Linked DNA regions of Oryctolagus cuniculus. The protein of the gene in region 1 binds, or shares a complex with, the protein of each later gene. Links are inferred from orthologs where the notes say so. Each region holds a gene or a part of one and is shown in the gene's direction. Other genes may lie near its edges. The genes, in order: WASHC1 and WASHC3.

The links.
Region 2: WASHC1 (region 1) and WASHC3 share a complex: the UniProt entries of both Homo sapiens proteins name them as parts of the WASH core complex. The link is inferred for Oryctolagus cuniculus from reciprocal best matches to the Homo sapiens genes WASHC1 and WASHC3.

The regions. Positions count from the first base shown.
Region 1 is NC_091440.1:106,627,780-106,631,596, reverse strand, and holds part of WASHC1 (WASH complex subunit 1), read left to right. Parts: intron 1-614; coding exon 615-726; intron 727-907; coding exon 908-1,054; intron 1,055-1,192; coding exon 1,193-1,329; intron 1,330-1,501; coding exon 1,502-1,637; intron 1,638-1,795; coding exon 1,796-1,997; intron 1,998-2,079; coding exon 2,080-2,244; intron 2,245-2,764; coding exon 2,765-2,923; intron 2,924-3,396; coding exon 3,397-3,465; intron 3,466-3,579; coding exon 3,580-3,719; 3' UTR 3,720-3,817. UniProt on the Homo sapiens protein: Acts as a component of the WASH core complex that functions as a nucleation-promoting factor (NPF) at the surface of endosomes, where it recruits and activates the Arp2/3 complex to induce actin polymerization, playing a key role in the fission of tubules that serve as transport intermediates during endosome sorting.
Region 2 is NC_091442.1:104,997,226-105,001,042, reverse strand, and holds part of WASHC3 (WASH complex subunit 3), read left to right. Parts: intron 1-2,806; coding exon 2,807-2,917; intron 2,918-3,817. UniProt on the Homo sapiens protein: Acts as a component of the WASH core complex that functions as a nucleation-promoting factor (NPF) at the surface of endosomes, where it recruits and activates the Arp2/3 complex to induce actin polymerization, playing a key role in the fission of tubules that serve as transport intermediates during endosome sorting.

The DNA.
Region 1 (3,817 bases):
GTGAGGAGGGGACTTAGGTGAAGCAGCCAGCTGTGTGGGTGTCTGCAGGAAATGTTCAAGTTGCTAAGGCCACAGACAAGCGTGCTTGGCATGTTCAGGGGTGGCCAGGCAGTTGGTGTCCAGGGCACAGTGGAAGCAGGTGAGGAGCCAGACCACCAAGAGCCAGGGAAGCCGTGACCAGGGCCTGGATTGCCTCTGCAGAACCGTTCATTATGCGTAGGGGCCAGCCTTGCTGGTCACTTAGCCCCACTGAACTCGGGGGTCTGCCGCGGTCTGCCTCAGCTGGGTTGTAGGGGCCTGTGACAGCGCTTGCCACCTGCCAGCAGCTGTATGTGAATGTGTAATTGCGGCTGTCCTGCACACCCCTGCCTGAGACTGGACACTCCTGGGGCAGGAGGCAGGGCCCCAGGGAAACTAGTACAGTTCATTCCCAGGCCTCTGTGCTTGGAGAATCCTGGTAGCGTCCCCCAGAAGCTCTACAACAGGCCAAACAGATAACGTTTTGAGAGACCTGGCCCCGCCCTGGCCTTACAAGTCGGCTGTTAGCAGCAGGAGAGACAGGAGAATGAGGGCTTGGGTGCAGTCCCCAGCCTTTGTGACCTTACCCTTGGCAGGATCTCCCAGCGAGTGGAGCTGAGCCGGAGCCAGCTGCAGGCCATCGGGCAGAGGGTCTCCTTGGCCCAGGCCAAGATTGAGAAGATCAAGGGCAGCAAGAAGGCCATCAAGGTAGTCTGTGCACCCCTGGGTTCTGTGGTGGACAGGCAGTTCCTCCATCTCCCGCACTCCTGCTGTCCTGCCACACGTCAGGTTTCCCTCCTTGCGGCATCCCAGTACCCACTCCCACACTACCAGCCACCCTTGGCTCTCTGGAGCCCCTCAGGCCCCAGATGTGTCCCTGTGTCCACAGGTGTTCTCCAGTGCCAAGTACCCAGCTCCCGAGCGGCTGCAGGAATACGGCTCCATCTTCTCGGGCGCCCAGGACCCCGGCCTGCAGGGGCGGCCCCGCCACAGGATCCAGAGCAAGCACCGCCCCCTGGATGAGCGGGCCCTGCAGGTGTCATGGCCACATACCCTGGGCAGGGAGGCTGCGGGCCCACTGGACAGAGAGTTGTCCCTGGAGAGGATGCGGGGATGGGGTGGGGTCCACAGGACCCAGAGCTGAAATCTCCATCTACCCTCTGGCCGCCCCCAGGAGAAGCTGAAATACTTCCCCGTGTGTGTGAGCACCAAGCCCGGACCTGAGGATGAAGCCGAGGAGGGGCTTGGGGGCCTTCCCAGCAACATCAGCTCCGTCAGCTCCTTGCTGCTCTTCAACACCACCGAGAACCTGTACGGCCAGGTGGCGGGGCTGTGCGGAGAGGCTGGGTGGACTGGCCGGGCCTACAGGGGCAGCAGGAGCCGAGCGCTTTCCTCCGGCCTGTGAGGCTTGGGAAGCCACCGTGGTCAGGAATGCAGCCCTAGAAGGGAAGGTGCTGCTGGCCTGACACCCCTCCTCCCACAGGTACAAGAAGTACGTCTTCCTTGACCCGCTGGCCGGTGCTGTGACCAAGACCCATGTGATGCTGGGGGCAGAGACAGGGGAGAAGCTATTCGATGCGCCATTGTCCATCAGCAAGAGAGAACAGCTAGAGCGACAGGTGGCAAGGGGCGGGGGAGAGGCAGGTGGTGGGGTCCCTGCAAGGAGCCATAATCCCACCCAGCTGTGTGCTGGCACAAGGCGACCTCCCCTCTGCCCCAGGGTCACGATGTGGCCTGCAGCCCCGTTGGCCGCTCATGCACCTCACTGACCCTACAGGTTCCAGAGAACTACTTCTACGTGCCAGACCTGGGCCAGGTGCCCGAGATCGATGTGCCTTCCTACCTGCCGGACCTGCCCGGCATCGCTGATGACCTCATGTACAGCGCCGACCTGGGCCCCGGCATTGCCCCCTCGGCCCCCGGCGCCATTCCAGAGCTGCCCACCTTCCACACGGAGGTGGTGGAGCCTTTCAAGCCAGGTGAGCTGGGAGCTCCGGGGGACTCCCTGGCCCCGCAGCCTCCTTCTCGAGGGCCTCACGTGTTCCCAACCTTCTCTTTCAGACCTGGAGGATGGGGTGCTCACAGCACCCCCACCACCCCCTCCACCCCCGCCACCTCCCCCAGCACCTGCGGTTCTGGTCAGTGCCCCACCACCACCTCCCCAGACAGTGGCCTCCACCGGCCAAGGTGCCAGGGTAGATGACAGCGGCAGCAGTGGGCCTCCAGGTAGGAGCAGCACTGGGCAGGGGCCAGGGCACACACACACTCTGAGGCACCTGTAGGTTCAAGGGACTGTGAATTCTGCGAATTCTGCATGTTCGGAACAGCTCTCCTTTCAAATGTTTTATTCAGTGGGTTCATAAAACCCTGTTTTTCAAGTGTCCTAGAGAGCTCCGGAATTCTAACCCCAGGAGGGGGAGCCTGGGCCCCCCATTCCCACCAATGGGGAAAGGGGGTTATTTAAAATGTGAGGTCACAAACTTCAGTTGTGATGTTCTAGCTCCTGGTGCATGGCCCCATCCACAAGGCACACAGAAGTCCCTCGCTGGTTCGTGGGGCACTGCTGAGACCCTGTCAGCCCATCAGGAATCTCAGCATTCGCCTTTGCAGTGGGAGAACTAGGAGGGCTGCATCTAGGCCCTGGTGCTCGGGCAGCTGGGGACAGGAACACCCAGGCCGCCGTGCGCACCGGGCTTCACCTTCAGCCGGCCCGAGTCCCTGCCTGAACAGCCTTCCCCCCTCCCAGCGGCAGTCCAGGGAGCTCCCAAAGAAGTGGTCGACCCCTCCAGCGGCCGGGCCACCCTGCTGGAGTCCATCCGCCAAGCCGGCGGCATCGGCAAGGCCAAGCTGCGCAGCGTCAAGGAGCGCAAGCTGGAGAAGAAGAAACAGAAGGAGCGGGAGCAAGGTGAGGGGCCCCCTCAGGGGAGGGGCCGCCCCGACATCCACCTCCGCTCTGCCTGCACAGTGGGCTTCCCCCCAGGTTGGGCACCTACAAGACAGACAAAGCTTGAGCTTAGCTTTCCTCTCTAAGGGGACTCGTCGTGAGTACCCCTGGCCCAGGGATACCCTGAGGCAGCACCTGAGGGGGAGCTCAGTCCAAGTCCTGAAAGCCCTCTGAGGCTGCAGTTGATGGGATGGAGACCTGGGCAGAGAGCAGCAGAGCCCCTGTGGTCAACGGCCCCGAGCTCACACCTAAGCTCTCTGGCCAGGTTTCCTGCAGGGCTGCTCACACTGATGCAACTCTAACACTGCTGGGTCTGCACAGAGGCACCGAGAGCAGGTGGTCAACAGGTGGTGGTGGGTGGGGCCGAGTGCAGCTAAGCCAGGGACTTCCTGCCTGGCTCCTCCACCTCCCTCACTGTGGCTTTTCTGTTGCAGTGAGAGCCACGAGCCAGAGTGGGGACCTGATGTCGGATCTCTTTAACAAGCTGGTCATGAGACGCAAAGGTCAGAGGCCTTGGGCAGGGGATACTTGCATCCTACACGGTCCTCCCCTAAGTTCCCAGGGGCTGAGAATGGGGGCCCCGGCCCACCTCCCTCACTCAGCCTTTTCCCTTGCAGGCATATCTGGGAAAGGACCTGGGACAGGGGCCAGCGAGGGGCCTGGAGGAGCCTTCGCCCGAATGTCTGATTCCATTCCTCCTCTGCCTCCTCCCCAGCAGCCAGCGGGAGAGGACGACGAAGATGACTGGGAGTCTTAGGGAAGCAGGTTCTCGGTCCCCTTGAGACAAGAAAGGTGAGGACTTGTGGCTCTGTGCCTGAGTCCTCTCCAAAGGCAGGGCTGTCCTAGAGCTGAGAG
Region 2 (3,817 bases), on another chromosome or scaffold:
AGTTTTTCTTTATTCCCTAAACAACATAGTATAAACAGCTATTTACATTGTATTAGGTATTTTAAATAATCTAGAGATGACTTAAAGTATATGAGAAGATTGTATAGGTTGTTTGTAAATACTACAACATTTTATATAAAGGATTTGAGCATTCCCGGATTTTTATATCCATGAGAGTTCCTAGAACCAATCCCCCCTAGATACCAAGGAATGACTGTATTTAGATATAGTTTGCATTTAAGGAATAAATCAGATGATCATTTACTTAACAATTAGATATTAGAAAACGTAACCTCAATTAATATAGTAAATTCCATTGTGATACAGTATACTTGTATATAATATACAAGTGGAAATTCAGATGTTGTAGAGAAGTTTAACTATACAAGGTTCTGTGAATTAAATATAGACCACCTTTTTTCTTTTCTTTTTTTTTTAAAGATTTATTTATTTATTTGAAAGTCAGAGTTACACAGAGATAGGAGAGGCAGAGAGAGAGAAAGAGAGAGAGATCCTCCATCCTATGGTTCACCCCCCAATTGACCGCAATGGCTGGAGCTGTGCTGATCTGAAGCCAGCAGCCAGGAGCCCCTTCCAGGTCTCCCACACGGGTTCGGGGGCCCAAGGATTTGGGCCATACACACTCTACCGTCCTCCCAGGCGACAGCAGAGAGCTGGATCGGAAGTGGAGCAGCTGGATCCCGAACTGGTGCCTATATGGGATGCCGGTGCTCCAGGCCAGGGCGTTAACCCGCTGTGCCATGGTGCTGACCCGACCACCTTTTTTCTAAAACAAGACATCTGTAAAGAATATTAAGTAAATATTCCCACTCTACTTAGTATTTATTCTTTGGTAGATAAAACTGTCATATAGCTCTATAAGTATTATCTGTCTTACTTTGAATATTAATTTCTCCAAGTGCTATTATAAATTTCATCTATGATATGTATTTTATTTTATAACTTTTATGCTGTTGTTAGTCTTTGCCTATTTAAAGTCATCAAATTGAATACAGTAATCACAGATGAATTTCTTAATTTGCTTCAAAGTTAAAAGCAATTGGTATAACTCTGACAATTTTATTCTAAAGTTGAAGATTAATTCCCTTAGAGAATTTATGACCGTCTGTTGGCTTTCCAAGTTTTAAAAAATGTGATAAAGTTGCTTGTTGATTAGATTAATAAAATAACTACTCAGTATGTTCATAATATTTAAGTCTACTTCACATTCCTTTCTTCATTGTTATTGATTGAAATATTTTTGAAATGGGCTTAACACAGAATTTCCATTTACATTACAATCAACTCGATTGTCAGTTAAAGAATTATGCAGTTGTTAAAGAAAGTTAACCATTTATCACCATCTCTTATCTATGTTTGAGTCAAAAAGATTTTTATAGAATGATTTTTTTGCAACTTTAATTCCATGGTTTACATTTTATCATTCATAATAGAACATCCAGTTGTACAGCTTGAGATTAATTTGAAAATAAAATGAAGGACAGTTGAAAGATGTAACAGGATTTAGTTGGTTATTCAAATAGCAAAGGTGTAAGACATTATATAATTAAACCTTGCTGAGGTATTGATTTTTAGGACAAAGTTAACAGCTGACTTGGAATCTGTTTGGAATGTAGTTCTTGTTTACTCCAGTTTGCTGATGTATGAGTTTATGTCTATAAGTTTTTTTAAACATACTTGGATCTGTTTGACTTTCGTATTTAATTAACAATGTTTTGAATTTTTCTATTTATGTATATTACAGGTGAATATATGTACAGGAATGTAGATATAGATATACACTCACTTTTGTAATACTTAACAGTATCATATCATAGGAAAAATCTAAAAGTTATTGGAGGCCTTTTTTGTTTCAGAGTTTTTGACAAGTTAAATTTATATGTGAATTATTTGAGGAAAATTCACATCCTTATTCCAAACACTATGGGAAGATTATGAAATGTTGATTTATCTGCATTTCATCATAAATACAGGGACATACAATTGATTTCATTTGTTAAAGAAATTTCTCTTGATGTTTATGTGCAGATAATGAATGGATTCACCAAGGTTATTCTAAATCTATAATTTGATAGAAAATTCAAGTATTATAAACTGGCAGTCCTACCTGTGCCCTTAAGCAAAGACAGGGCCAAACATCAGTTAACAAAGTACCATGCACACTGAGGACTGCCTGTATAATGAAAGCATTTTTTAACCTATAAAACACTGTTCTCCAGTGTTCTTCATTGTAAGTAGTATATAGTATTTAACCTTAACCACTGTGTGGACAGCATTATCACTGATAGTTCTGTCAGCAGCTGAAAAGTACAAAACCAGCTAATTTCGTCTGAGAAATTAGTTCTTCCCCACCAATTATGCAGGCATTGCTTTCTAAAAAGTTAGAACAGCCATACCCATTTAGAATAAGGTGACTTAATAAATGAAGAGTTCAATAGGTGATAGATACTTATAAGTTCTCTGTCAGAGTTAATAGTTATCCTTGTATAATTCATATTTTGTATGAAGATTCTGGGCACAAGAGAACCAAAAATTTAATTTTTTGATGCCATGAGTATAATTGTGTTTTAAGGAACGGTTATTAAGTATAGCTTCCTCTGAAGTCATATTTAAGTGTTGGTAAATATTTGGAAATATACATCCAATAATTAAATTACTGGTGTTTAAATTAATTCAGAAGCATGATTTTTTCCTGTATAATTATAAAGAGAAACATCCCTTTTAAGTAATTTGATGGACCCCTTTTGTGAATTGTCTAAAGATTTACACCAAATACTCTCTACAGCAGAACAGTACACAAGACTGTGGACCACAGGAAAATGAAGTATCAGCAGAAAATATCTTAACTGTAGCCAAGGATCCAAGATATGCCAGATATCTCAAAATGGTTCAAGTGGTAAGCTAATTTGGACTGTCTTCTCTGTTCAGCAGCCTCATTTGAAATTCTTAACCCTGGAAGTTTCATTGCTATTTTTTTTCAATCTGAGGAAACTGCCAAACTGAGTGACCAAGTTATCTGCTCTCTCACTTCCTTTCGATTTTAGTTAATATCCTGATAAAAAATTCAAGTCAAAGCTTTCTAATTACAATTAGTCACACTTCAAATTTGCATAGTTTAATATAGATTTATGTAATGTTTTTGCTTTACACAAAGTTTTCAGTGCACATCTTGGTTGAATCAGCAAAGAATGAAAGAGGACTATTCATTTGGCAAATCATTTACTTTAGCTTAATTCCCATATACTAGCATAAATATTTTTAAAAAATATTTTTATTGTACTGTTTATTTAACAGTGATTTGATTTGTAAGATAGAACTTAATTCTCTTGGCCATGTCAGATTAGACTTTCAAAATTAGATGACTTCAGAATATTTGTAGTTGTCCATAATAAGACTTAAGAAGTTAATTTCATTCTTATAGAAAGTCCTATTATCATGGTTAAAAGAACCTGCTGGCCGGCACTGCGGCTCAATAGGCTAATCTTCCGCCTGCAGCGCCGGAACACGGGGTTCTAGCTGGATTCTGTCCCGGTTGCCCCTCTTCCAGGCCAGCTCTCTGCTGTGGCCAGGGAGTGCAGTGGAGGATGGCCCAAGTGCTTGGGCCCTGCACCCCATGGGAGACCAGGAGAAGCACCTGGCTCCTGGCTTCAGATCAGTGCGATGCACTGGCCGCGGCGGCCATTGGAGGGTGAACCAACAGCAAAGGAAGACCTTTCTCTCTCTCTCTCACTGTCCACTCTGCCTGTCAAATAAATAAATAAAAGAATCTGCTGACCATCGTTGTTCTGTTAACCGA